4 linked regions of the Drosophila melanogaster genome follow. The protein of the gene in region 1 interacts with the protein of each later gene in a pairwise test. Each region holds a gene or a part of one and is shown in the gene's direction. Other genes may lie near its edges. The genes, in order: DCTN3-p24, PSMG1, gdrd and CG4960.

Region 1 (8,895 bases):
TGCCGGGAGGCATGGTAACCACGAACTTGTCCAGCTCCACCATCATCAGGCGCTGTTGCTCCAGCAGCATGGGTGCATTGCGATCATCCAGCTTGGGCGCCAGGAAGATGCGCACGTAGCCATACCGCGTGGCCTCGCTGGAGTTCTCCACCTTGATGGTGTAGCTGAATTCGTGGTGCTGCAGATGGGTGAACCGAGCGAGGACATGGCCGCGCGGCACAAAATCAAGGCCACGGGACATGTCCACATCGGACTCCTGCCAGAAGGTGGTCAGCCTGTTGACCTGACCCTGGCTCTCCACCTGGATGCTCTCGACGCGAACGTCCGGAAAGCTGAGCTCTTGCTTCTCATAGGGAGAAAGCAGACGTTTGTGCTCCTGGAACATATTGTCGATGAAGGCGTGCCACTTGTAGAAGATCGGATCGCGCATCGCGGTGGAGGCGTCGCCCATCACGCCCGCGTACTCCAGGTGCTTGTTGGTCGGATCGTGTGAGTAGGCAATCAGTATGTGCCCCATGTTGTGGAAGTCGCCGTACTGCAGATGGAAATAATATACATGGAAAGGTGATCTACAGATTATCACTTAGATTCCTTACCAGCGTACTGTTGGGCGTCAGATCGGAAGCCTCGATGATGTTGCCCAGGATGTCGATGCCCTTAGCGTCATCCAGCACGATCTTTTCATTGTTCGTCTAAAAAATAACCAATTAGTTGTTGGATGCATGTACTCCTGGAATCGGAGAGCTCCCCACTCACATCCAAAACGTAGCCCTGATGGATGGCCTCGTAGATGCGTTCGCGCCAGCGCTTCATATCATCGATGCCAACCCTCAACTGGTTGTTAGGCCGGTCCACATCGCTCAGCCGGGTGTTATCGAAGCGCGGAGGATACGCCCTACTGGCCACCAGCGAGTCCATCTTGGGGAAGTAGCCCTCGGCAATTGGTTCGTCCAGGTTGTTGAACGGCTGCACCCGGGCCATGTGGTTGCTCAGCCGCTCGGCATTGTAGCGGGCAATGATCTGCTGGTGCATATAGTAGAACAGCTCGCCACGACGGTCCTTGTCCACGATGCTGCGGTCGGGCGCCTCTATGGGATAGACCAGATGCCAGTGCCAGTGGTGCAGGTTGACGCCCAGGTCCTCGCGGAAGTACCACAGCCGGTGCTCCACATCGAGATCGGAGGCGGTGTACTTGACCGAACTGACGACGGGCAGGCGGGCGGCGGAGCGCTCCACCACAAAGGACTCCTCGCGCATGCTGCGAAGCATCTTCGAGTCGATAAAGCGATCCGGGAAGGTCTGCGCAAAGGCGGGCAGTTCGAGGTCCTTGGTGTCCGGACGGTGGAGCAGGGCCACCGACAAGGCGTAGTTGAAGAGCACCGGATTGACGCGATCCCTGGCGTACACCGCCACGCTCTGCAGCTCATCCACGGTCTGCATTTTGGTGAAGATCTCGATCAGGTGGCTGGCCATCTTGCGGTGGGACTTCAGGAAGATCGAGAACTGCTCCGAGCGGCCCAGTCTCATGGAGCAACTGAGATCCGGTATGGCGATCTCCTTGACTTGAACGTTCTTCTCGGACGCGCTGCTCACGCGCCGCTGGACCTTCTTGCACATCTGATTGTAGCGATCGGTCACGTAGGAGTCGGGCACGTCGAAGACGGTGCCATTGCCACCCTTGTCCATGAACACGGGCTCCGTGGGATGATCGAACAGAAGGAGCAGATTCTTCTTGTCGGCCATTTTCGATGGATTCGCGATTAGGAGGACCTTTAGCGAGCAGTTGCTGATTCTCAACTGCACGTCCCCACCCAACTATCAGCTCCTTTTATACCCAGCAGCCGAAATGCCCTATGGTTACATGGCGAACATCTCAAGTTCGTCAACCCCAAAAAACAATCTAAAATATTACTAACTTAAGAATTTTTAACTATTGCCATAGTATAAGCATTGAATCACAGAGTTCCGAAAAAAACATTTTTAACCGATAAGATGCTGCTGATTCATCATAGTCTGTTGAAAACTTAACGAACAATGTATTTGTAAGTTTCAGAATTTTAATTCACAGATAAGTTACAAATATTTGAATCGTATAATATCCTATAAGGATATTAACATTTCCAGTACGTGTTGTCTACATCGAAAATACTGAATATCATTTTTTGATTATTTAGTCTTCATAAGACAGTTGTAAGTATTTATTTAATTTTTTTTGTGCATTAAATTAAATTCATTAAATTTTCAATTGTTTCCAGTGTACGTCATAATTAAGCTTATCTCGCAAACAGTATTTTGCCGCTAAGCACCTGCGGTCACACTTATTCGTGGAGCACCAGGAGAACGTAAACAAATGGAGCACGAGGTGGCTGTTTCAGGAGGGGATTCCTCGCTGGAGGAGATCACTGGCAGTTCGAAACTCAAGCCCTCCAAGAACACGGCCATCAAGTGCCTGAAATGCGACAAGGTGTACATATTTCCGTCAGATAAAGATGACTGCCTGGCGCATTTGTATATGGAGCACCGACTGGTCATCGCCGATGTGGAGGATATAGCGCTTCTGGAGGACTACCTCCAGTACTGGGAAAAGGAGTTTCACAGTGAGAGAATCAGCAACCCTACCCTGAAAATTTAATAATTGTTACCCATTTTAGCCCACGAATTCGAGCAATATTGCACCACAATGTTCCTGGATCAGCTGCCCGATGGCAAGTACGCCAAGAACGAAAAGTACTACCTGCTGTGTGACATCCTGCCCCAGGACTACGAGCTGCGGCGAAGGTTGAAGGAGAAGCGCCTAAGTGAAGCCCTGGAGCGACATCAGTTCGAGCTAACCGACCGCACCTTCTCCAAGGAGTGCCTTTTCTGCAGGGCCATCATCAAGGGATTGAGGGCGGACTATCTGGACCATCTGTTTGACAAGCACTTTCTGTTGGTCGGCAAGCCCGAGAAGCTGGTGTATGTGGACGAACTGCTGGATCACCTGGAGGAGAACTTGAATCGGTTAATGTGCCTCTACTGCGAGAAGATCTTCAGGGATCGGCCCACGCTCAAGGAACACATGCGCAAGAAGGGCCACAAGCGGATCAATCCGAACCGAAGGGAGTACGACAAGTACTTCCTTATCAACTACAATCGTGTACCAACGGCCCCCACGCCCCGGAAACAGCACCTCCAAAAGCGAAGACGGGAAACGGCATCCGTGTCCACAGTTGCTGATCCTGAAACCGGCAGCGTGGACTTCGACAAGCACTTCGCTCGCCCTGATTCGGATGGCGAACACGATTCGGACTGGTCGGATTGGGCGGCAGATGGTGAGCCTAGCTCCATTAAGTGCCTGTTTTGCCACCATCTCGGCGACAACTTCACCGCCCTCAAGAAGCACATGCACGAGGTTCATCGCTTGGATTTCGAGAAGGCCACCAGCTCTCTGAACTTCTACCAACGCGTCAAGGTGGTCAACTACCTGCGCCGCCAAATGTGCCTGCTGCGCTGCGTGACCTGCGATCTGCAGTTCGACGAGGAGGAGCTGCTCGTGGAGCACATGGCACAAGAGTCGCACCACGGAATCGGCGATAAGGAGAGCTGGGACAAGCCCGAGTTCTTCTTCCCGTACATCGAGAACGATGGTCTGCTGTGTGTGCTGGATGATTCCGGAGGCGATGACCCGGACGTCGATACGGTGCGCATCATCTCCGAGGATAGTCTGGCGCAGATCAACAAGGATGCGGAGCGGTTGTCCCTCGAGAATTTTAAGCTGTTGTAACTGAGATTTTTGTATTGTACAGTTTACGTTTAAAAGAAACTAAGTAAATAGCAATGGAATTTAAGTGTGTACTATATTTATAGATACGTATGCACCAAAAACTTTATGCAGAGGAGCTAAATATTTTATTTAAATACCATATTTTTTAGTCCGCATAAGGGTTAATTCGTTCTGCTTAGCGAGTACAAGAACCTTGCCACCAAGCTAACGTTGCCACCTTTTCGTTGGACATCGATTGTTTTGCAGACTGACATCATTCCCATCAAAACGAACAAAATAAAGAGAAATTCAGCGAAAAATGGAGGCACTGGACATTCTGGAGAAGCGCATCGATGCCCTGACACGAGTCCTGGGTCCGGTCCAGGACTCTGAGGTGGGCGAGGGCGTGGTCGACGCCCTGTGCTCGGCACACGCCATCCTGGGCGAAGCAACCACAGGAAGTGCTGCACTGCAGCAGTGCGTGAAGAGATCTGACGAGCTGGAGAAGTACCTGGACCCCAACTTCCTGGAGGAGCACCAGCAGGTGCGCTCCAAGGAGGTGTACCTGCAAGCCGTGGCCCCCGAGCTGCACACGCAGGCCGAGCAGCTGGAGAGGATTAAGCAGCTGGAACCGGCCCTGGGCGCGGAGTACTTCCGCAGCATTCCCGCCGAGTGTCTGGAGCAGCTAAAGGGCATAACGCAGAACAACGGGGAGTACGCGCAGCAGAGCGAACTTATCGAGGAGAGTCTGGTCCTGGCCATGAAGCGATATGGCGAGATCCAGGCGGGACTGCTGAGCTCCCTGGATGCCATGAGCGAGCGCTTGGACCAGGTAGAGGAGCGCATGGAGCAGAGGAAGCGTGCAGAGTTGAGCAAGGATGTGCCGCCCAAGGATTGAGCGGATATAGATCCAAAGACTGCTGAAAGTATTTTATACGACCCCGTTTCCAAATCCGTTCACCTGAAAATCTGGTTCCACTTAAGCTGAAGGCATCAGTTGCTCAAGCAATGGATGTAACCTAGGTTCTATTGAAAAGTGTAATCGTAGCTAAAGCCATCCCGATTTGATTGGAACTGTTTAAGGAAGCCGGGATATTAGATTTTCTAACTACTCCAACGTAAAGTGGCTAATGATGCTCTTTCAATTGTAAGTTTCATTTTTAAAAACTATTTAACTAAGCACAATAAACTAAATTACAAATCTAATGAAAACCAATCAAAATCCTGTCTTACAGAAGGAAAATGCTATAATCACATAATAGAGCACAATATGGATTTATCATTGGCTGAATTTTATTTTTATTATCTATACAATGTATACAATACGATGTGACACTTATGTATGTAGGAATTGTAGAAGGAAATAGTTACAAAATAATAATTTACCCGCGGAAACGCTCTTTCAACAGTAAATTTCCAATGCTAAAGTTTATATTGTCCGGACAATAAGAAACTTAGCCAGAATTAAAAGTAGTTGGCGCACCACAAGCCGAATCCAAAGGATATCCTCTTCACCAACATACAAGGCACAGTCTTGACTTTTCTTCTTCCCAAGAACAAAGTCCGGCGCTCCTAGAATCGCAGCTCGTTTCTAACTATCCTCTCGTATACGGATGGGGTGAGTGGAGCATACACGCCATCCGGTTGGGCGTAGAAGAGTTCATCGTCGATGATCTCCGGATTGAAGCCCTGCTGCTGAAGCTCCACCTTGCGCAACTTGAAGGTGCCCGTCAGGTCGATTTTGCGCAGGAATCTGAGAAACTGCGGCCTGGCGTAGTTGGGCAGGGATTTGGCCAGTTCCACGCCCAGCTGGCTGACGTTGACCTCCCGAGTGGGATCGTAGATGGCTGCCATTCCTGCTCTGCCCTCAGTGTTGGGTATGCTTACGCCGTACACAATCACATCCTTGTAGCCAGCCAGATTACTCAACTGCGCCTCCACCTCGCTGGTGGAGACATTCTCACCCTTCCAGCGGAAAGTGTCGCCGGTCCGATCTTTGAAGTACAGATAGCCCCGCTCATCGGCCACCAGCAGATCGCCCGAGATGAAGGCCATGTCGCCCTTGGAGAAGACATCGTGGACCACCTTCTTGGAGGAGGCCTTCTGGTCAACGTAGCCGAGGAACTCACGGCAGGGATTACCCCGCACAATCTTTCCAACGAAGACGCCTGGCTCATCCGCCTCGCATCTCTCACACAGTCCTTGGCTGTTCCTCAAAGGCTCTCCCGTATGTGGATCTGCTTTTATGATCGATATTGGGTAGATCTGCGGCAGTATGCGGGATATGAATCCAATGGCGCCCACTGTGCTGTCATTGTTCATGATGTTGGCATTGCCCTCAGTGGCTCCGTAGAACTCGCCCACTTTTCGAATCCCGAAGCGCTCCACGAACTGCGGCCAAATCTGTGGACGCAGTCCATTTCCGAACACCATTCGCACTTGGTGGTTCCGATCGTGAGGAGCCGATGGCGTGGCCAGGATGTAGCGCGCCATCTCCCCAATGTACTGTCCCACCTGGCAGAAAAATAAGGCACATTAATACAACATATTGGATGATCCAATAGCCAGTTACCGTGCATTGGAAGCGGGCGCAGTCTGAAAAGTAACCGGAGGCGCTGAATTTCTTCCTTATGACCACGGTGGAGCCGAAGAGTAAGGCCTGGCCCATGCTCATCACTCCGCCAGCGGTGTGATATAGGGGCAAGGGAGTATAGAACACATCCTGATCCTTGAAGCCAAGCGTGTAGTGAATGCCGGCAGCTATGAAAAAGTACCTGAAAGTAGAGGAATCGTTGTAAAGGAGAAACTTACTGCAGCCAGTGGCAAATCTTACCGAGAATGCGTGATGACGGCTGCCTTGGGCAAGCCCGTGGTGCCCGACGTGTAGATGTAGACCAACTTGTCGTGATGATCCGCCCGAGAAGCGCCGGCGGCCACCTTATCCTTGGCCGCCGTCTCCAGAAGGCCGTTCAACTGCTGGGCCAGTCCCTGGCTAAGGCCCTCGGAAGCCACCACCTCCTGGTTGGACTCGTCGTTGAACTGATACAGTCCGACGTGGGCGGGCAGATCCTTGGCGATATCCATCACGGCCGACCGGAAACTGGCGCCGTAAATGAGCGCCGTGCACTGGCCCACGGTAATGCTGTGCTGCAGTGAGGCTCCACGGAGGTTTGTGTTAATCAGCGGCGTGATCACGCCGATCTTGGAGAGACCAAGCCAGGTGGCTACAAATTCGGCGCGATTCTCGAGCAGCAGACCCACCACGTCGCCCTTTTTGTAGCCGTGACTGTGGAACACGTTGGCCACCCGGTTCGAATGCTCGTTCACCTGGCGGAAGGTCCACTGCTGGGACTCACTGACAATGGCCAGTTTATCCGGCTGCCGGGCCACATTTGACTCAAAGATGTCTCCGATGTTCAGGTTCTTGCGCTCCTGGCGCTTAATGAAGAGCAGCACACGGATGTAGGCAAAGAGGGCTCTAAGGAATACAGTTTTAAAAAAACTCTGGAACTAACTTCCCAATCCTTGTTACTTACACAGTATCCCTGGGTGTGGTAACAGCTGCAATGTAGAACCAGCGCCATCCTGGACGCACCAGCAGTATGGATATCAATGCGGCATATAGCGTGGCCACTCCATACCAAGGCCCTTGGTAGTAGAGGATCAGACCGGAAATGGCGGTCAGGACAGGTGCTAGGATCCACTGAAGATAACGGCGGAAGTTGGATTTGGCAGGTGGTTTCAGGTTTTCCGGTTCGTTCATGGAAATGGAGACCTACAAAGTCACAATTTTAGTAAAGATGCATGTGTTTAGATTGCCAACTGCGAGAAGGAGAACAACGACTGCATCACTCATACGCCGCGTAAGCCCACATAGGCGATACGGGTCTTAGATAGCAAATAGAATAACCCCCCGGGTCTGACACCTCCAGATGAAGTTGATTCAAAGCTTTTCCTGATCTTCAGCTAATTGCTTGTTGTTTAATTTGCACTCTAGCCACCGTAGTTCCATAACCCAACCCGCATCAATCAATTAGCACTTTATTTAAGCAATTTGCAAACAAACAAACCAAAACAGTGAAAAGCAAACACACAGAAAATATATAGAGTGGTATGTGGACAAACAACAACATCTAGTGGCCAAAGCGGTGACCATTCCGGCCGGATGAAAGTTCTCGGAAGTGCATCAAGGCCTTCTTTTCGGCATCGGAGGCCAATCGGTTCGACAATCTGACCAGAACGCAGATGGTCAGCGCCGAGATGAGTCCCAGCATAAAGAACACAACCTAATTATGTGGTGCAATAGATATATTGTATAGTACGTTCTATGATCTCTCTGTGTGTGTCCGTGGTCTTCAGATTACCTTGTGCCAAATGGTCAGTCGATACTGGTTGGCTTTCGGACCGCCCTCCTCCACCAACGGACTATCGTCGGTGCCCGTCATCATGGTATTCAAATCTCAAGCTCAACTCTTTTGACCCTTGGCGCTTCAATGGTTCGGCTGTCTGCCTGTTTGTTTATGGGTTTTGTCTATTTTTTGTTAAACTGACAGTTGGTTCGCAGAAGTAATGTAACATTGAATTTGAACATGATCAGATTTCATTTCATTTAGTTCTGTGACGAAACTTCGTTAATACGACCTTAGGTTTTATTAAATGATCTTTTGCACTTAAAACTATTGATGATGTGCACCACAAGAAAAACATACTTAGCTTAAAATCAGATCTTTTAACCTGTTTCCCCACTTCAAAAGCAATTTATTTCCATAACCTCCATTGAAAACCATTCGAAGTCACCCTGATCTTGACTTTCAAATAGTTTCTGACCAACTCCGCCGAAAGACTTACTTTAGGCTGCACTAGTCTTTTATATAAAACCTGATTATGAGCTCTATCCGCACAGATGACCGATCGCATAATATTCGAGACCCAGACCTAGTCCCGGTTAAATCGGCGGACCAAAAGTAAACTGGTTTCGGTTTTCAGCGGTTTTTGTCGATGTTTGTTTTTGATGGCAACGTGAGTATTATTTTGTCGTCAGATAAGGTTTAGTTTGGCAGCGAGGGGAGCGACGGGACAGGGCCGGGGGATCCACCCATGGAACAACAAAGCGAATCAAGCGCGAAACCCCAAAAAAAATGTACATATGTTGA
Region 2 (8,527 bases), on another chromosome or scaffold:
AAAATTATGCTACGATTTTCAATTCGTTTTGGTTGTTTTTACCGCGTAATACTCGAAGCGTATTTATCATTTAGGGATTCTGTTTCTTGCTTAGTTGGTTTTACAATAAGGACACTAGTGAATTACATTCAAAACGGTTGATGCGAATGCGACCAGCTGAAAGTTTGAGTAAAAATCCAGTAGGAAAGACAACCGAAAGCTGTGAAAGTAGAAACGATGATGGTGGCGGTGACTTCCATTTCCGGTTCCGTTTAGTTCTGCAGAGCGGCTCGTAGAAGACTGTCCAGAGTGAACTGTATGGTCCCATTGGCAGCCGCCTGCAAAACGGATGGCGGCTTGGGCAGGGACGGAAACACTGTCGAAGCTCCCGCTTGACTGCCCTTTCCTCGCAGGCAATCCATACCAGTGGTCGCCAGCGTTTCGGGAACGGTGGCTTCGCATATGCTGGGCGGTGACGGTGGCGATGGCGCTTGCAGAGGGCTCTTTGATTTTTCTGTTTCCGACTTTTCCTCTGGCTGAGCCTCTTGAAGCGGCTCCTGTTCCTTCTTCTGCTGCTTCTCCTGCTGGGCAATCGCAGTGTTGACCTTGTTCCACAGGTTGCTGATGACAGCGTTATCCTTGCCAGCAGCTGCCGTTCGCTTCGCAATCTTCTCGATGAAACTCTCGGTTTCCGGAGCAGGATCCACTGTAGTTTCTACAATATTTTGCTTTTGCTGCGATCCGCTTTCGCTGCGCGAGTGCGAGATAAGACGCGGTCGTATCTGCGGTCGCTCTGAGGGCAATTCTGGCAGAGTAGCAGACACCGCCAGACCCTGGCTCACCAGTTCCAGCATTATGCGCCGTGTGATGCCGAACACAAGATGCTTTTTCTCTTCCGTAATGTATGCTTCGTACTGTTTGGCCTTACTTTCATCGTTGCCCACCGGCGCGGGACGACGCAGTTTGGCCCGCATGGATTCTACGGCTTGCGCACCCGGAGGTTGCTGGCATGATCCATCCGGTTTGAAACTGACCAAGTCGTAGACGAAGTCCTTGTTAACCGCTTTAACTCGCTTACGGATGGGACGCTTCTCCTGGGAATGTTCTCCAGATTCGGGTGAGATTTGGGTACGAGACTTGCGACGCTTTTTGCTGGGCGTGGGAGTACCCTCCAGAGGCTCCTGTCCGGGTTCTTCTTTTATCGCGGCTGTTGGAGATTTGGGTTGCACTTCACCTACAGATTCTGTTAGGGTTTTGAGATGCTTCAAGCGTCTTTCGTAGGTTTTGATAGGGGGTTTAGCATCCTTCTCCATCACTGTAAGCTCCTCCTCCTTATCCAGCAAAATTATATCTCCGTCGACATCGTCTCGAGAGTACTCGCACTCGTGGGTGGACACATATTGCTCCGTCAGCTGGTCTCGGTCTCCTTCTATCTTATGAGTAAATCCCAAATGATTTACAATATCGTAGCGCCTAAATGCGCGATATTCACACAGGTTACAGCCAAAACGGCGTGCGCGGTAATGAAACATGGATATGTGACGACGTAGGTTCCCGAGGGCATTGAACTGCTTGTGACAGATCTTACAGCGACATCGCAGCTGCTTCTCAACTGGGACGTTACGTTTCTTCTTGGCCTTACCCTTGACATCTTCTGCATCGGCATTGGATTCAGGTCCGGCCCCTGGTGTTAGCTCGTGCTCGTCGTCGGTGTTAGAGGCTTCGTCACTAGCAGAGTCACTTACATTGCCTAAGTTAAGCTGGTCCAATGACACTGTGTGCAGACCAGGTGCAAATGAGTCGTTCGGCTCTGGTAGATCGGCAAACATCTCATTCAGAGTAATTTCCTCGGTTTTGATCGGTTTTTTTTTCGGCAGGTCTATGGACGTCGTTGGATCCTCATCAGCTGCATCCACACTGGAATCATTGCTCTTCATCTTCAGTTTTTTGACAGAAGGAGCAGGCTTAGCCAGCGCCTCCTGCTTCGCCCGACAATTAAGCAGGTGTGTTGACAAGGCAGCGCGACGCTCGAATGATTTTTCGCAATAGATACACAAAGACATGATCTTACGGTGCTCACCGCTGGCATCTAGTGGCTCAGGGACATAGCCCACCACGTCGTCGGAGAGCTGTAGGCGCTTCAACTCCCGGCAGGGGCCCTTCGGCTGCACATCTCCTTGCTGAATGCGTCGCTTGAGGATAGTGTTCCGCATCATTCGAATACGTCGAGTTGGCTTCCTGAAAAATTAAATTGCAAAAGGACCAACATTAATATTAGTTCACACATTGCATGTATAATTTTTAGAAAAACCACTATCCCTATAAAAATGTATCTGTTATATTTTTATTTATGATTATTAGTTGTTCTGTTTTTATGATTCAGGGCTTAAAAAATTCACATAAATAGAAAGTAAATTAGATTGTTTCCTTGGAAACAATATGATTTTTGACATATACATATATGTATAAGGAATGCAGTATGCAGTAAGCAGATATAAATGGACCATGTGAAAGAAAAAAGGAACCTGTCCCCTTGAAGTAGAATAATATCATATATTTTATAATAATAAAATATAAAAATTCTATGGTCGGGTTAAGTTGAACTTACTTGTGATCCTTCGACAAATGACGAATAACAGCAGCGGCCTGCAGAAAGGTCAGCGAACAGGCTGGGCACTGAAACACAAACGCCGATGATGAGTGATGCTTCTGAATGTGCACCTCAAGCGTTTTGTGCGTCTGAAACGTCAGATTGCCTGTGAACGAGATTAGGAAACACAGCTATCACTAATTGTATTCAAGGCCTATTCGGTTAGGTAGTCGTACAGATCTCGCAGAAAATACTCGGCTCCGTTTCGTCGCTGATGGACTGCTCGCCGGAGTCGCTGCCTGCATTGTTTTCCAGCTTAACGGTTGCCAAGGCCTTGCCGTCGGGTCCCACAATGGTTTCAGATGGATTAAGCATGCGATGCACCTCGTCCAGTTCTGTCCTTATGCTGTCGTCGTGGTCCACTTTGATGGTCTGATAAACAGCCTGGCTAGAGTTGGGCACAGACTCCAGCTGCAGAACAGTGGGCGAGCTGCACTTGGCCTGTGATGTAGCCTTTTCCCGTCGCAGACGCTCTATAACACCACTCAGGTCCCTTATGCCGCCGCCACCTCCTCCTCGTAAGGGACGCACGTCGCGGGGAACAGGCGAGCATCCCGTGCTTCTGCTGCGTAGCATATGTTCAATGTCCTGCGGGGACGGACCACCACCCGTTTGTATGATCATAGTGGAATTCTGATCCTGGGGGAGAATTAACAGCGATTAGTTGACATCCTATGGTATTAGAGACCTTGTAATGGGGTTGTCTTTACTGCCCACTCACTGTGTATCCGCTGCCATTTGCCGAACGAGCGCTGACGCAGCAAAAGACGCGTTTGTGGCTGATGAAATTGGCCAGGCTGCGAAACATGTTGCGGCACACCTTGCACTCGTAGATCAGGCTGCACTCCAGACTGAGCAGCTGGCGCACCTGTGGGAGAATCTGATTGTTATCCGGGGATCCACCAAACTGGGGCGCAGGAGCCTCCGCCATTGCGGGCCACAATTGAGTCACGTACTCCACTCAGATGAGACTCACCTCGCTGGTGCCATCCTCATAGGCCCGACGGGCCTCCTCGAATCCCGTGTGGGCGGTGCGCAGCGGCCGCTGCAGCAGGCTGATGTCGTCACCGTTGTGGTCCATCTGCTCCTCCTTGAAAGTGTCAGAGTTACAACGTGAGCTTCGCTTTCTCATGGCGCTGGTTTGCGCGCTTGCTCCCACTGCTAACCAAAAAATTTGAGACCTGTCCTAGCGCGCTGCCCTACGGAATATTTTCACCGACGTGAGGTTCTTAATCTGTTTCTAATTAGCGATCAAAGTGGTTTTCCAATTCGAATATGGACCTGCATCTTGCATTTTTTGTATTCAGTATGACCGTGCTTGAGCGCTGCTTCTGCTGCGATGCTGATCTGGTATTTTTATTAACCTGTGCGGAATTTTTTGTTTCAACTTAAAAAAAAACGGAAGAGTCGAAAATATTTAATCAGGCAAAACCAATAAGCTGGAACCACATTTGTTTTAATATTCGACTAGAACTAACAATTGAAGTTTGATTTCTCCCTTGCTCAGTGGGCGTAACTTCCATCAATTCTCAAAACCCCCAAACAATATTGTCAATACATAATTTTGGAATTAGCTTATTGTTAAATCTTTAATTGACATGCCAAGCCCTAATAAGTTCAGAAAAAGCGCTAAAAGTTCCTAAATATTACCTGCAAATGTAATTTATTCAAATAGAAAAACGTTTATTTTGGCGTTCAGCACATGGTCACACTGATGACTTGAAAAAAACATAGTGACCGGAATTAGGCTCATCATATTAGTTTCACCTTTTTTATTAAATCAAAACAGACACGATGAGCTGTCCAGGATTTGGAGAACTAAATATACCCTCGTCGCGTGCCTTCTGGGACGACTGCGACGAGGATGAATTGGAGAACCTTAAGCCGGTGGAGAAGTGCGTGATCTAATGTTATTTACGTAGGTAGTCCTAATTTCTTGGATTCGCAGGCTGCAGCTGAAGTTTGATGATGATTGCGATGGGGAAGCTGCCCCTGTGGAGAGCGAGATGCTGGTGGTCATTGAGGGCGTCAACGTCACTCACTTCGCCTCTTCTCTGCTGGAAAAGGATGCAAAGCGTGTGTGCGCCATTCCTGCCAATAACTCGACCCTGCACTGGAGTCATTCGTCCAAACAGTTGCTGGCCATAATCAACGAGGACCTGACCAGTAGCGGCGAGGTAGCGGAGCTCCTACTGCCGTACGTGAAGCTTGCCAAGAAAGTGATCACTCTGACGCTTAAGCCAAAGGTCGAGTTCAAAAGCGAGGACATCCAGCTCTACCGGGATCACATTGCCGTTGTCCGCGGCATAGGTGCCAACCAGAAGGATATCACTGAACTAGAGGCTCCCAACTTTATCGCTGGAGTTGCAGCAGGCGGTGAGTGATGAGTGGAAAAGGAGAAGGTTGAATCACCTCACCATCTGTTCACCTTTTTTTGCAGTTGCCAGTTGGCGGGATCAGATGGAATTGCCTGTTACCTCTTTCGTTATTTACACCGACAAGCTGCCCCTCGACGCCACAGCTGCGCAGCCAGTGATCAAGGTACTTAAAGCCGCGGGCGTTGCCTGCAGCTCGAGCTACATCCCTCCGCGGAAGGAGAGCTCTTATTTGTACATGTGAAACTACTTTTGGCTGTGCTCAACTTCCTAGTTTTAATGCTTGTAAAAATGATACGGTTGCGGAATAAAAATCGAACTACTTAAGTACATCAAAAATGCTGAGGTTGTCCTCCCGACTACGTTGCTCCATGTGCGCCTTGGCGATGGCTATGAACTGTGGACGGGAAAGCATTGAATAGGCGGGTACCAGCAACGATGAGGCAAGCATGTGCAGCTCCTTGTGCCCACTGCAGAACATATCGATGCCTAGTTCCAGGGCGCTTCCAAAGTCCGATTCATCAACTGCTATGTTGGCTGCGTTGGCCACCGGCTGCAGCTTCTCCAGAACCGCCTGCTTGGCGGCTCCATTATCGACGTCCTTCCGCTCAAGCATTGCCAGCATCTTCTTGAGTTCGGAATCGCTGACAGCCAGCGGGCGGTATCCCACTTCTGTCTTCTGGTCAAAGGGCACAACAATGCCGGCTCGGTGGAATGTCTTGGCCACAACACGCTTGTTGCGCTCCCGCTGCAGTCGGTCCAGCTGGGCCAGTTCTAGGGAATTGTCACTCAGGTATTTTGCCACCGCCTTTTTGGTCCCCGCCAACTGCCCGCATGAGAACGGAGTGGCCGCAAAATCGTGCTCCAGGTAGTAGAGGAAAGCATCGAAGGCATTTCCAGCGACGAATTGGAACTGGCAGCCTTTCGCAGAGTCGTTGCGGGCTATTAAGAGATTTTCCTTGTCCTGCGGCACATCGCGCCAGTAACCGTAGTGAATCCCAGTGCCTCGGCGCACGAAGATCGTCTGAAATTCTGGTGGATCGTAGTAAAAACGCCAGTGGCGCAGGTAGTCTCCCGGTTCGCCTAGTTTGGCGCCGTGAAATTTACCGGCTAGGAACTCAAAGGGACCCACCAACTGCAGTTGAAATACTTTGTCTAGGTGCTCCAAGCCAGCATCCTTGGGCTTCGCAGGATCAATTTTTAAGCTTCCCACAAACTTCCAAAATTCGTAGAAGTCCGGCGGCATTTCGACAAGGAACTTGTGTCGAATGAACTCGTTGGACTCGCAGAGATTGTCGTACTCCTTCTGCACGGACAGGCGGATGCGCTTCTCCAAGATCTCCATGTAGTTCTTTCCGGATATGTTGCTCATGGCCTCTTTGTGAAGCTCCTCGGTTTCGGCTTCATAACTGCCCTTGGCTGTATCCTTGTTCACCATCTCCGTACTTGAAGCACTCGTATTGGACTTATCCTTGTTCACCGGCTCCGTTTGTTCTTCCTTTTTCTGTTCACCAGACTGCGAGGATGCACTTCTTTTTGGCGCCACTTTTTTGCCTTCTGCGCCGTCCACTTCGTGTTCTTGTTGCTTTTTCGGATGATTGTATTTGGACAAATGTGCGGGATTCTGCTGATAGCACTTATCCCAGTATTTGCAATCTTCTTTTGGCATTCTTAAGTAACAACAATACCGATTTCAAACAAATTTGCAAAATGTGAGGTTTGCTATGGCACAATTAACAAGAATAACAAGCATCCAGTGACGCCGTTAAAAGTTGCAAGGGGATGATTCTGACCCATTTGAGAAAAATACTTTACCATGACAGCTGGGTAATAGAAAATACTACACTATATACTACAGCCCAGACATTTCCCCTTGGTGAAAAGCTAATAAACTTTTCATAAACTTGTATACTTTTATTGGACACTTAAATTCAATTTTAGTCATTTTTTTAGATCTACGCCCATGTTGACTTCCCTGGATAAGAAGAAGCACTCTGCACACACCCCCAAAAGTGTTGTAAAATACCGCCGGAAATCACCAGTGACTGGCAAAAACTGCACTGAATTGCATGGAGATTTAATGGGGGGATTCATTTAATAATTGTAGTTCATTCAATGAATACAAACTTCACGAAGAGAATCGAAATGTTGATGGTTAGGGGTTAGTACAATTACAGTTGCGTGTGGATAGGCGCTTCAAGGGGGAAACACTATTCTAAGCACCTATGGAACAGGATTAATCCTCGACAGCACACATGACGGAGTAGACGCACTCTTCCTTGTTAATCAAGTGGCAGGTCTTGTTGACCAGGGACATCAGCTGGTTGACGTCGGTGGCCCAGTTGTTCAGGATGTCGGAGGCGCTCTTTTTTTGGGTGAAGTAAATGATGCCGGCGGGACGGTCGATCTTTACGCGGATGGTGTCGGTGTTGGCCAGTTTAGAAAGATACTCCTCGCAGCGGCTGGTGGGCAGGTTCAGCAGCTCACTCATGCGCGCCAAATGCAGGCGGGAGTAATACATGGCAATGATGCGAATGTTCTATGAAATAACCAGTAGCAATTAGTTATTATTAGTATTGATTTAAATCAAAAAAAACCTACATGCTCTATCAGACGATCCTTAAGCTCGGTGATACATTTCTTGCCATGCTTGGTGCTATCCTTGAACATCTCGTTTTCAGCCAACACGAGCCCAAAGTCTGCATTAAATGTGTCGAAGTTGATCAGCTCCTTTGACATGAACAAGCGCAGAATTTCCCTTTTAAATCGAAAATAAAATAACATGCTCGAAATGTACTTCAAATCAAATGTACTTACTTATAGGCGGGCACTTCCTCCAGCTTCTTGTTCTTCGAAAGATGTGCCATCATGTCGCTCTGTTCGTTGTCGAAGGGAGCTAAAACGCAATAAAGCACGGCACAAACCAGCTTTTCCGTCAGTTCCTTCTTCTGCTCCTCGGTAAGTTCAATTTCGACCTCAGCCTCTGTAGCAACCTCTGGCTTCTTATCCTTGTCATCTTCCTCCTTCTTTTTCTTATCGTCATCCTTCTTTTTTTGCTCATCCGTGGACGCGGCAGAGTCTACGGGTGTAAGGCCAGTCTTCTTGCGCGGAGGCTCCGCTATGGCCTGATAATGGCGCGAAGTATTCAGGAAGGAGGTGTCTCTGTTCAACTGAATCATTAGATAGTAGAACTTCAGCTTCAGATCATGCTGTGCCGGATCGTCAAAGAACTTTATACTGATCTTCTTGGCAATGATCTGCGTGGATACGTAATCCTCCTTCAACAGACAAAGGCGCATCTGCTCCAGGATGAGCTCCACCTTCTCGCGCTTATCCATCGAGCCATAAGTCTCCACTTGAAGCTCCTCCATGACAGTGGCAGCTCCGGCGACATCGCCATCGGCTTCCTTAATGTCCGCCAGAATCTTAGTAAGACGGGCCCGCTCGATCTCAACGTAAATCTTGCCCTCGGTAACCGAGCGAAGTGTGTCGATAAGCTTCAGCTTAGTCTCTTTGTCGGGCG
Region 3 (3,022 bases), on another chromosome or scaffold:
GGAAAAGCCAGTAGCAAATGTCAATGTCTCGCTGAAGTGAATGGCTTTCACCTCCCAAGGAGCTGGGCGTGACCTTTTCACATTAATCTCCAGCTTGATGGCGTTTTAATGCAGGAAACTCAACTATAACTATATGGTTATTTATTGTGATGGGTCTGACAGATGTTGTTCCTGATATGGGATATGGTTTGTGGAGAGCCAGAGCCTAACGAACTGGGAAATGGTCTCTGAACATTCAATTATATCATCAATTAGTTGGTCGTGCAACATGTTGCAAGAGTGATTTGGACAGCAGATTAGGCAACAGCATGAGACCACTTGGCATAAACAAGGGTAGGGATTTAGAGGGTTTTTTCATATGTACATCTCTACTAATTTAGATTGATCGCGAGCTGTTATTTTAAATATTTAATGTGAAATATGTGCGTAAAAAAATGTCGATAAAACTCGTAACGAGTTTTATGTTATGATTCTGTGAAATATAAAAAACAGAGCTTTAACTGTTATAACATATAATGAGTTGGGTATTGTAAATATTAAATATTAAACGTATGGCTTTCTTATATTTCTTAATCAACTATTTATTTATTCCGAGTACATTTTATTTTTAATTTGTAATTTAACTTCAGTGACAGGATTTCTTTACAACATTTTTTCACCAGATTCCTACACTTATTTACAAAAACTTAATTTATCCCGTAGTTTATTACGCCCGAAGATACAAGCGAACAAACTAGAGCGAGCTGAAAAATGTTGCCTACTTAGCAGCGCAACGAGTTTTCAATAGAAAGCCCATAAAGTGAAAGACGTCGCAAAAGTCAAAGCCTTGCCACAAGCCAAATGCCAAATGGCATTATCAATAGAGGATTCAGCGAATCCCGGAAGATATAGAAAGCCAAGTGTGTGAATTTAACTTGGTGCAGTCATGAACATGCATTCGCAGCTACAGCTCCATATATACATCTTAGTATGTGTGTAGTGCCATGCCATTTATTCCATTGAACAAAAAGTCATTTGTAAGTGTTTTTATGCGTAACGGAATTTATGAGGAGCAGTTCCTCAGCAGATTTATTGCTTTATTACGATGTGGCAGAGCGATGGGTATCAAGATGGGAATCCAGTTTGGCGACAAAGGCCAGAGAAAAATAAAGAAATGGCTGGCAAATATTTAGCACATGGAGGCGAAAAACTCACTGAAAGAATGATGGCAAAGAGCCATGGGAAAAGGGGAGGGTTAAGGGGAAAATGGCGAGAGAATGAATGCTGCATTTCCTCCCTTTTCGGCTTTTGTCTCTCTTTTTCTGCGTACGGATTTTCCTCGAATGGTGGCGGGCTGTGGGTGGAACGGGTGGACGGAATGGGGTGGACCTTGAGGGCGTTTCACATCGTCGACATCGTCATCAGCATCATTCTCATTGCAGTCGTTAAGTTATAGACTTTGATTTCGTTCGCCTCGTTCAGCTGTGGGGAAACTTTTATCCTCACTGCCACCCAAAGTGCGTCCTTTTTGGCAGAGTCGTTTCAGAGATTTATTTGCCTTGTGCCCTGGCAACTTTCGACTCTCGACATCCATATCCGTATCGTTTGCTCTCCTCGCTCTTAAATTGCTTTAATTGATTTCTGATTTTATGACCCTGCTGAACACATTTCACACATGATTACATGCCAAGTGGGTTGCGATTTCTTAAGAGGTTTTAAATCCGTCTATTCTTAATTTTGAAGATAATTAAAACGTTGGTTTTAAATAAAAAATATAGTTTGATGTGTCGCTTAATTAAAAATGTTTCAACGTTGTGACCATCTACTCATATTTATGGAGTTTGGATTAATACTATTGTTTATTGTATAGAGTTACTATATCAAACATGCTGCTCTCGATTTTGTTGTCAGTATAAATTCTGTCTTTGATCTGTTTGCACTTAAGTCTGTTCTAGTTCACAGCTCCTGAATAACTATTGAAATTTCTGAAATATATTTTTTTTGTCAAAATGTCGGACGACGGATCTGATATATTCCAAGACCTTGAAAGCTACGAGCCCTATACAGAAGGTAGCCAAAACAATAGTGACGAAGCAACTGCAGTGGGGCCTCTCGATACCTCTGAGGACGCTCGCTTCTCCGAGCAGGTATTCTCGAACATTCAGGAGCGTCTGAACCGAATCATTAATCGCATTAGCATGGCCAACTCTGCCGTGGTCCAGATGAAGAGGAAGCTCCATGCTCGAATTCCATCCGTACCTGTTGGCGAAAACGCCGACCAGTTGGCTGGAGGCGATAATCCAATGCGATTTGAAAACGTCGAACAAGAAAACGAAACCACCAACCAATGATATAAGAACATTTTTATATTTCTCATTTTCAAAAATGTATAAATTTATTGTATTTATTTATTGTTATTGTTATTGAAGCCCATTTAACAAATCACAAACAGACCCGAGTTAATTGTTAAAAAATTATGCATTAACACAAGCCAAGGATTCGAAAACTAAGCGCATATAATAAACTGAGCAATGAGCAAAAGCAATACATTGTATACTGCCCTTATCGCCATAATCTAAACTATTTTCAACGATATTTGCAATTTATTAGTGGCCCTCCACACACAATTGCCAAACTTGCTTTCATTCGGTCCACAAACTTTGTGGACTTCTTTTCGGCGCATAATAAACTTTTCATTGACCGCCCTTCAAAAATGTTACCCCAAGCAATTTCGAGCAGCTGCATATTGTCAGGGGGCCTTTTGTTTTGTCGAAAACTTTGCAAAGTCGGAAAATTTGAGACTGAAATTTGCATTTGCCTTTCGCCACATTCACATAGAAAGACGAATTGCCTTGGAGCCAAACAAATATGTTAAAAGCAATAAATAAGAAAGGACATTCTTCAAGTTCGTCGTCTGCCGCTCGAGATATTGGCAAAACGTATTATATGCGATAAATTTCGACAGAAAGCTGAAGTCCGATACTTATCAGTGGAAATGAAGCCAAACATAATTTGCCATAAAATGCCGTTGCAGCGGCATTAA
Region 4 (8,483 bases), on another chromosome or scaffold:
GTGGCTCCACAACGGTTGGTGGCAGTCGGGCAGTGGGAGAACACATAGCTGGCTGCGCTGCATAATCAGGCAAAGGCGACGGCGACAACGACAACATTTATCAAATGAAATGCACGTGCCAAGCGTTTGCCTGGCCCGCTTCCGTGTGGCAACCCGTTCGGATGGGATAAGGTCCTTCGAGGTGCCACAGCTCCGGAACTGGCTTGTGCACGAGGGGCGGCAGAGAAGTTGTGCGAAGCTGCAATATATTCACGGGGTGTTTGTGAAAACTCTCGGGACTTGACAGCATCACTAAATCAAATTAAACACATGAATTTGTTTATGGCAAAGATCTAATAATAAAAATGTATTAATCACATGGGTACAAGACGTCTTAGTAAATATCAATTGTTTGGAGGGAAGAATTATTGAAAATTCAATTTATTTCAAATTCAAACTTATCTATTTAATTTGTCTCCCCTCGATCTGAAAGTATATATTTTCTTGCTTATGTATGCTCATTTATTGTATGAGTATTTATTATCAAAATCAGCTGTCAAGTGCACTGTATTTCCGTAATTATAAATGAGCAAACTTTCTGGCTTTGGTTTCTTTTTAGTGAATTAAATGAGAGGTGATATGGCTATGAATGGGTAAATTGTTTTTTGTTAAAGTTTTTCACCGTACGCAATATTTAGATTTAGAGAGATTTAAGTTCTACATTTGTAAATTTGTCCTAGAACTGACTTTTATGACGCATACGAACTCGTAAATAACGGAAAGGGATCATAAAATGTCTTTAAAACTCGATTATAATCCCTTCGACAAGCAGCGACGTCTGCCTCCCTTTTTGGCGTTCCTCCAGAAATTGCATTCTGCTGTCGTGGCAGGATCTGCACCTTGCAACCAAGTGGCTGCCACTGTTGCCACTGCTCCTTCAGCTGCTTAAGTGCCATGCATTGAGATTGAGTTGTTTTCCTTGTAGCCACAACCCCACTTCGCATCGAGGCGCATTCCACTCGAGAAAATCGATGATGTCTTGGGTGCTTTTGTTTTTGCAGCCGCACTGCAACTTGAAAATGTTTTGATAAACTATCTCTCTGGCTATGCAAAGAAGGGAAAAGTGCAGGAAAATTGAATAAAAAGACGGTAGCGGCAACTTTAATCTGCAACAAATGCAGCAACAATGCCAATGCCACTAGCAGCAGCCGTAGCAGTTGTCAAAACGTTGCTGGGGAATGGAGGCAACAAACTTTTTGGCCAACTGTCGAAAAACAAGCGAGATAAAATTGGTAAAACAATTGTCAATGCGTCAATTTGAATGGATTCCAGATACAGCAGAAGATGCAGCCTCAGAAGATAAAAACATCAACAAAAACAAGTGTCGAAAGTTTGGCCAAGAAACTTTACCAAGGCAATGCACAAAAATGGTCTAAGTATAGAACGATTCTGTAAACCTAATTTGGATGAAAGTAGTCCTTGAACCAAAAATCTGTAAATACATCGACAAAACAGTGTGAGCTCTTCAACTGGCAACAATTTACAATATGAACTGCATATTTCTTATGTGCTCCCTGCTTGGCATCTCTTTCGGTAAGTGGTCTTGAGCACTTTAATTAACCCTCCACAAACCCAACTCAAACCCTAACTAATCCGAGTAGCTATAGTGATCGAGGCCAACTGTCTGCGGGGTACAGGCCACATGTGGCAGCAGAAGCCACCCACCAGCACAAACAGTTGCAATCGACCGTTATCTCTGGCTAGAAATGGAACATCAATGGGAAAACGAGCAACGTCTGCAGTCGACATTCCAGTAGCTACAATGGGAGCACCAGGTCCGGAGGTTGAAGCAACCTTAGCTGCTCCTCCTGCGGTGTTTCTGGCCAACTACGTCTATGAGTGCGCCATTCGTCGCACTGCAAACAGTTGCAGCAGACCACCAGGGTCGGAGCCGGAATCGAAGCCGGAACTTGAATCCGGACCGGAGGTGCCTAAGCCCCGAACTGTGACACTGGCAGCCGGCGAACTGGAAGGGTTCGGGCCAACTGAGTGAAAGGGGTTTTGCATGCGATTAGACCAGCTGATGGGACGGGTGATGTTAGCCCGGTTTTTTACATATATATACACTGGCATATATTTCGTACGGCAATAAAGTTAGGCAAAACAAGTTGGGAAACTCGTGAGATTAGTTTAGGTATGTTCTTTTAACGGAATAGCTAAAGTTTCGATACTAATTTGTTAATGGATAACCTCGAGATTGGCTTTCTGGCACTTGCCATTGAACTGGGCTTTTTCAAAGCGGTATGGCTATAACTAAATCAATCCCCATCTGTGTTTTCCAAGCAAACATCTGTTTGCATTTATGAGTTTTTTTTTTTTAAACCGAAAATATAAACAAAGTGACTGTAATCGCAGTCACAGAAAGTGTGCTTATATTGCGATAAGACATGCAATTATTATTCAGTTGTAAACTGAAAGCTTTTGAGTTATCAGTGGCTGCTGCTAATCTGTGTAGCTAAGTTTAACAATTTTAGTCTGATTAGGGCAGTCATGGCAGCTTGGCTCACAGCTGAATACCTGGAAGCGGCACTGCGTCGGTATTACCAGAACAACGAACTTCGAGTGGAATCGATGGTTATAAATCCCGCTTTAGGGAAAGGAGAAAACTATGGTGCTATCCTAACACGCATACACCTTGTGTACAGCAGCATAGTCGAGGAACATCTGATTGCCAAGACTGTTCTAGAGTATGAAGACGCGGAGACGAAAATGAAGAAAGCCCCATATGATATTTACAATCGGGAACTGGAGATTTACGAGCAAGTGTTACCAAAATTGCAGGAACTAGCCGGCGAGCAACTATGTCCTAAAATACTACACATCGATCGTCAAAGAGGAGCACTCATAATGGAAGATCTGAGCTACAAGGGATTTGTGATGGCCCCGAGACTTCAGAGATTGGATGAGCAGCATGTGAGTTTGGTTCTTAGGAAGTTGGCCAAAATGCAGGCAGCATCAGCGGTTTTGGAGAACAATCTTTTGGAAAATAACTTCTCTCTCACTGAATACGATAAAGGCTTCTTCAATAGGTATACAGAAAGCTTTAGTGCCTACTTTCTGGGCTGCCTCAAGTCCTGTGCCAATTACCTTAAAACTCAGGCGGGTTATGAACACCACGCAAAACTATTAGACGAACTGGCTCCCTATTATATGGGACTAGGACTCCGCTGTTTTAAGCAAGAGCAAACGCACATTAATGTCCTTACCCACGGCGACTTGTGGACAAACAACATGATGTTCAAATACGAGGCGGGCGTGCCGAGCGATGTCCTTCTGATTGACTTTCAGTACGCCTTCTGGGGTTCGCCCACCCTGGACATCCATCATCTGCTCAACACGTCGGCTGTGGAGCAAGTGCGGAGTGAGCTGCAAATGAAGATGAGAGGTGTCTATCACGATGTCTTCGTGGGGGAGCTGCAGAGACTTGGCTTCAAAGGTCAAAGGTTGCCCAGTCGAAAGCAGTTTCACCTGGAGTCAGAGCAAAAACGATTTTACGGTGGGTAAACTTAATTTCTAAGAGATTAGCAAATGAATATGCAAACAAAATATATATACTTCCAAGTCTTTCGTACTTTTTTTTTTTTTTGAAATAAATAAAGTGATAATCTATATTCCTTAAGCCGTTCATTGTGGCCTGCTGCTGCTACCTGTGCTGCTAAACACCGATGAAACTGATGCGGATTTCGCCGCCCTACTTTCGGATCAGCCGCGTGGAATGGATATGAAAAGGCGGCTGTATCTCAACCCTGGCATCCAGGACTCTATTAAGCAAATGGTGAAGCATTTCGAGCTGGAAGGGCTCCTGGATCCGTGGCAATACGAAGGCCTCTGAAGCTGGTGGAAGCGGATTTTCCGCTTTTTTCATAAACTCCCCCATTAGACATTTCAATTAGACGAGCTAATAAACATAAAACATGGCAGCCACAGCCGCAGGCATTTTAAAGCCAGCCGTCAGAGGCTTTTGAATTATGAACCGAGTTGGTACTCGTGGAAAAATATAAGGAGAAAAAGGCCGAAACGAAAATACATTCAGTTGGCCTAGACAAAAGCGCAACACATTTAGCTGCTGCGAAATGGAAAAATGGAAGGTCGGAGGCGACGAATGGAAGGGCGAGGATAGTTACACACATTTTTTTGAATTGTTTAGCATTTTGAATGAGTGAATGAATGGAAGCCATGCAAAGCTGTGAGTGCGTGTCTGCCGCAGAAAATGAGTCTGAAAAGAAATGGAAAATGTGAATTTTGATGTGGATAAACGAAAAGTCGGACTAAATGGGGTATTCTGCGCGTGCTCCTGGCCTTTGCTTAATTAAAACTTTGGCGCGAAATGGTGGGCCAAGCTGTTGGAAAATCACCAAATTATGACGTGTCTGCCGCTGGCGTTGCTTTATTCACAACTGCATTAAAGCTGAGTGCAATTAGGCTAAGCTATGCCATTTAGCCCGGCCTGCGCCAAAAACTAGGCAACCGTTTATTATACTTAATGGAGGAAGAGGAAAAACAGAGGTAATTTCTATAAGAAAAAAAAGAACGGAGCTGATTCAAAAATATAAATTTTTAAATTTTCTATACAAGATACCATTTTGCGGCTTTTACCTTAATTTAAGGTCGTTTTTGTAATGCAAACAAAAAAAAAATCGACTGGCATTTAGAAAGCCGGCGGCGTTACACAATTTTGATTGACAATTAGATACATACATTAAATTCTCATTTGTGCAAAATGGCCGCCCAGGTAAGTCAGGTGCAGCGGTTCTTCAACGGCTACAAGCAGGACATTAACCGATCACTGCGCGATGCGTCCAAGCCGTGGACCAAAGCCTTTGATAGCCTGGAAGAGAAGACCGGTGTGGAGAGGGTGAATATTTTCGTGGGTAGTATTTTGTTTTGCGCTTTCTACCTGGTCTTTGGCTGGTGCGCTCAGCTATTGTGCAACATCATTGGGGTTCTTTACCCTGCTTACATTTCCATCCATGGCATCGAGTCCAGTACGAAGCAGGACGACATCAGGTGGCTGATCTACTGGGTCACTTTTGGCATCTTCACTGTGATTGAATTCTATCCAAGTCTGCTAACTTCGATGATTCCCTTCTACTGGCTGTTGAAGTGTACTTTCCTCATCTGGTGCATGCTGCCCACCGAACGGAATGGTTCTACCCTTATCTACCACAAGCTGGTCCGACCATACTTCCTGAAGCTTCACGATCCCGTCGACATGATGTCCGCTGGAGTGCCAAAGGACGACTAGGACAAACATTTGCGTTAACTCCATGCATTTGGTTTACGGTCTGCAAAACAACCTCACCTCGTATCGGATACATTTCGCAATAAATTTTAATGATGTATTCATTTTGTTGTTGGAAGGAGCACCAGTGGTCGCTGAATCCTAAAAAATCTATCCTGGTTAAAGGTAAAAATGAAATCTCACCACTTGCGCGGCTGCTTTTGTGGACTCGAATTTAAACTCGAAGAGGTATTCCGGCTCAGAACGGCACTTCCATCCTTTAAGTGACATTCGAAAAGAAATTATATATTTTGGAAGTTTCACAGTGATAATGTATGGGGAAAATCTGAATAAAAGTCTAGAAAGTCTATGCCTAATGCAAGCCATTTACCGATTGTGTGCCATTTTGTAGGTGTGCTTGTGTGTGTGTACCTCCTTGTGTGTATGAGTTTGATATCTCACTGAGAGACGTCCTCGAATGCGAAATAAATGTTGCGCGTAAAAAGCATCCCGATGCCACACATATTTTGTCGCTGCTCATTGTTCTTTTTCCGGTTCTTACTCGAGTCAATTTCAGCTTTTTTTTATGTGCCAGTGCATGTTTGTCAAATATATTTACAGAATAATAAACATGCTGGAAAAATGGCAAGTTATGCAACTCGAAAGAATGCATCAATAACATTTGAAATATTTTACATTGCGTTATAATAATTTTTAATAAATATTGTTTTGCATATTTTGAACTTATCACTTAAATTGCTTTCAATATTTTATTCGCTTACATGAATACTCACTTGAAAAAGGTGCAAATATGGTTTATATTTAATGGAACCGTGAGTACTAACTGGATAGCATAGTTTTTTCACTATTGCCTTTAGTTAAATTTTGCAATGTGTAATGTTTTTTTTAAATGAAAATACGAGCTTGTTGCATTTTCCTCACTTTAAAATGCCAGCATGTAAACATGCTGAATTTTTTATAGAAACTGTTTTTACGTTTAACCCATGAGCTTTATGTGATATCATTTTTACGTACGATTGCATTATCCTGACTGGCAGAGTGGGAATTTTGTATTTACCTTGTTTAATTGTATTTTTGCTGAAATGACAAGTTCAGGCTGAAAAACTTTCTATGCCAGAGAGCCAAAATTTGATTCTAGCCATTCCATAGATTAAAACTTTGGTTTGCCCTGAGCACAACTGGGGAAAAAAGAAACAAAATGAAAATCAAAGTTTGCTTGCCGCTGGAGGGGTGGAGTGAAAATATTAAAATTGCTGTCCAGCCATGGCCAGGATTTATTTTCTTAATCCAAATAATGTCAAAAAGCCACAAACAGGCGACAGCCACATAAAACAACTTAGCAAATGAGCACACACACACACACACTCGCATGAGGGGAAAACCCGAAGAAAAATGTAATTTATTGTTATTACGAAAATAAATAAGAAAGGCAAGAGCACAGCAAGCACCGAAATGAATCTGTGGGCTGGAGGAGGCGTGGCCACGCCCACCTCGCACACAAATACACATAAACACACACCCAGATTCATGTGGCAATGCTGCAATGCTGAAATTGTGGCAAATAAAAGCGAAGAAATTAAGCAACTGACCGCTGGCAAATAAACCTGAAAAAACTGGAACACAGACGAAGAAAAAGCACAAGAAATGGCAAAGGCAGCCATTTTATATGTCATTACATTGTAAATAAAGTATTGTTTATTTCTGGACGTATTTGTGCGTGTGTGCGTATGTTTAGTGAACTATAACAAGTGGATTTATGTGAAGTCGAACTTGTGCCAATACCACATTTACTTAATAACCCAGCAGCCAAACTCAGGTCAGGATTTATTTGTCACCGGTTGGGCGGAAAACAACTTATTTGGTATTAGCAAACTGATTTTTCGAATTTCGGGGAAGTAGCTTTTAATCCAATCAACTCGATACCACACACAGAAAGTCAGAAAAAAGGACAGTGGCAAATATTTTTCCACAAATTGCATAACTTCATCAGTTGCAATTTCAACCGCTTGGAACATTGTAATTCATATTTAGCTTACAACTTCCCCCTGCCGCTCTGTACAGCAAGACCGGAAAATTTCAATTTATCTGCATCCAGCTCAGCCATCGAGTTGATTTCGCCCGGCCGGACAACCCTTCGGGTCAAGTGTGAGTAATTACCGCAGTTAGGCCGATCCGGCCGAAAGGAACCTGAGCAGGCAAATGAAATTTCCATGAGTCCAAGAGCCAAGCTTTAAAAATAGCTGCCTCCAGGGGAAAATGGGAAAAGCGCTTGTTTTCCCATGTATTTTCTGCTGCTCAGTTGAGCATGTGCTCTGCGTAAGTGTGTGTGTGAGCAGGAGGTCAGGCAACACTTGACTAAACATTTTCATTTCGGCCAAGGGTGGCCAGAAGTCAATGAATTTTGCCACATGGCGTATGCTTGATGTTGCGTGTTGTGTTTTTCTGGCCCCAAATGATTTCATTAAGTGCGAACAACAACACGCTGCGAAATCAATAAATCGAATTTCCAATGCTTCGAATATCAATACCAGTATATATAGTAAAAGACGCATTTCTAATTAAGATTTACGTTTAGAACCATTTGATTTCTTCAAAGATGTTAAAGTATATTATAGAAATTTAATACTACCCAAACACGCCTATGAAGTTTAATTGCCATGAAAATCGAATTATCATTTTAATTATAATCAAATATTGTTGAAGCAATAAGTGATTTTCCCATGCCGGACAAAGTCAAAAGTTGTGACCTCTTGAGGGAAAGGGCGGCGTCAATGACACACGGAATGCGACATACATTTCGAGCAAAAATGTAATTTATTCAGTGCTGGAAGCTGAAAGCTGAAGCCGAAACAAAGACACTGCCACGCCCCAACAAAGCCCACATAATGAAAGACAAACAAAGCATTCTTTTAGGCGCCGCTGCAGCTGTTTGACATGGATAGCTGTCTTCGGCTGTGTCCGTGTCTCTGGGCGTGTCAAAGTTCAAAGGACGTGGCGTAAGAATTAAAACGGATTAGTTGAGCAACGATACAGGGAACGACCAGCCAACGGCCCCGATCCATCATCTTGGCACCAAGGGGTTAATGTCCTAATTGCATTAACGGTGTGCGTCCAAGTCTCGAGCTAAATCCATTTTCCAGACAGTTATTGAGAACTTATTAGCCTGCAGGCCAGGAAAGTTGTGTAACCAGCAAGGACACTT

The links.
Region 2: the proteins of DCTN3-p24 (region 1) and PSMG1 interact in a two-hybrid assay, tested with the Drosophila melanogaster proteins (one large-scale study listed by BioGRID).
Region 3: the proteins of DCTN3-p24 (region 1) and gdrd interact in a two-hybrid assay, tested with the Drosophila melanogaster proteins (one large-scale study listed by BioGRID).
Region 4: the proteins of DCTN3-p24 (region 1) and CG4960 interact in a two-hybrid assay, tested with the Drosophila melanogaster proteins (one large-scale study listed by BioGRID).

Annotation. Positions count from the first base shown.
Region 1 is NT_033778.4:23,057,677-23,066,571, reverse strand, and holds DCTN3-p24 (dynactin 3, p24 subunit), read left to right. Parts: upstream 1-3,978; 5' UTR 3,979-4,061; coding exon 4,062-4,640; 3' UTR 4,641-5,152; downstream 5,153-8,895. Other genes in the region: PPO3 (prophenoloxidase 3), read right to left, coding at 1-535, 597-692, 757-1,743; CG9890 (uncharacterized protein), read left to right, coding at 2,351-2,597, 2,652-3,763; CG44253 (uncharacterized protein), read right to left, coding at 7,876-8,028, 8,107-8,190; Fatp2 (fatty acid transport protein 2), read right to left, coding at 5,315-6,256, 6,315-6,516, 6,576-7,220, 7,279-7,517.
Region 2 is NT_033777.3:5,790,119-5,798,645, reverse strand, and holds PSMG1 (proteasome assembly chaperone 1), read left to right. Parts: upstream 1-4,328; 5' UTR 4,329-4,423; coding exon 4,424-4,524; intron 4,525-4,577; coding exon 4,578-5,005; intron 5,006-5,069; coding exon 5,070-5,248; 3' UTR 5,249-5,323; downstream 5,324-8,527. Other genes in the region: CG10979 (uncharacterized protein), read right to left, coding at 252-2,217, 2,588-2,735, 2,806-3,268, 3,351-3,497, 3,606-3,761; Hpf1 (histone PARylation factor 1), read right to left, coding at 5,324-6,673; Rpn5 (regulatory particle non-ATPase 5), read right to left, coding at 7,241-7,543, 7,606-7,762, 7,822-8,527.
Region 3 is NT_037436.4:14,689,441-14,692,462, forward strand, and holds gdrd (goddard), read left to right. Parts: upstream 1-1,906; 5' UTR 1,907-1,988; coding exon 1,989-2,330; 3' UTR 2,331-2,522; downstream 2,523-3,022.
Region 4 is NT_033777.3:25,783,499-25,791,981, reverse strand, and holds CG4960 (uncharacterized protein), read left to right. Parts: upstream 1-4,683; 5' UTR 4,684-4,759; coding exon 4,760-5,284; 3' UTR 5,285-5,653; downstream 5,654-8,483. Other genes in the region: CG31093 (uncharacterized protein), read left to right, coding at 1,527-1,572, 1,641-2,032; CG31380 (uncharacterized protein), read left to right, coding at 2,530-3,535, 3,660-3,871.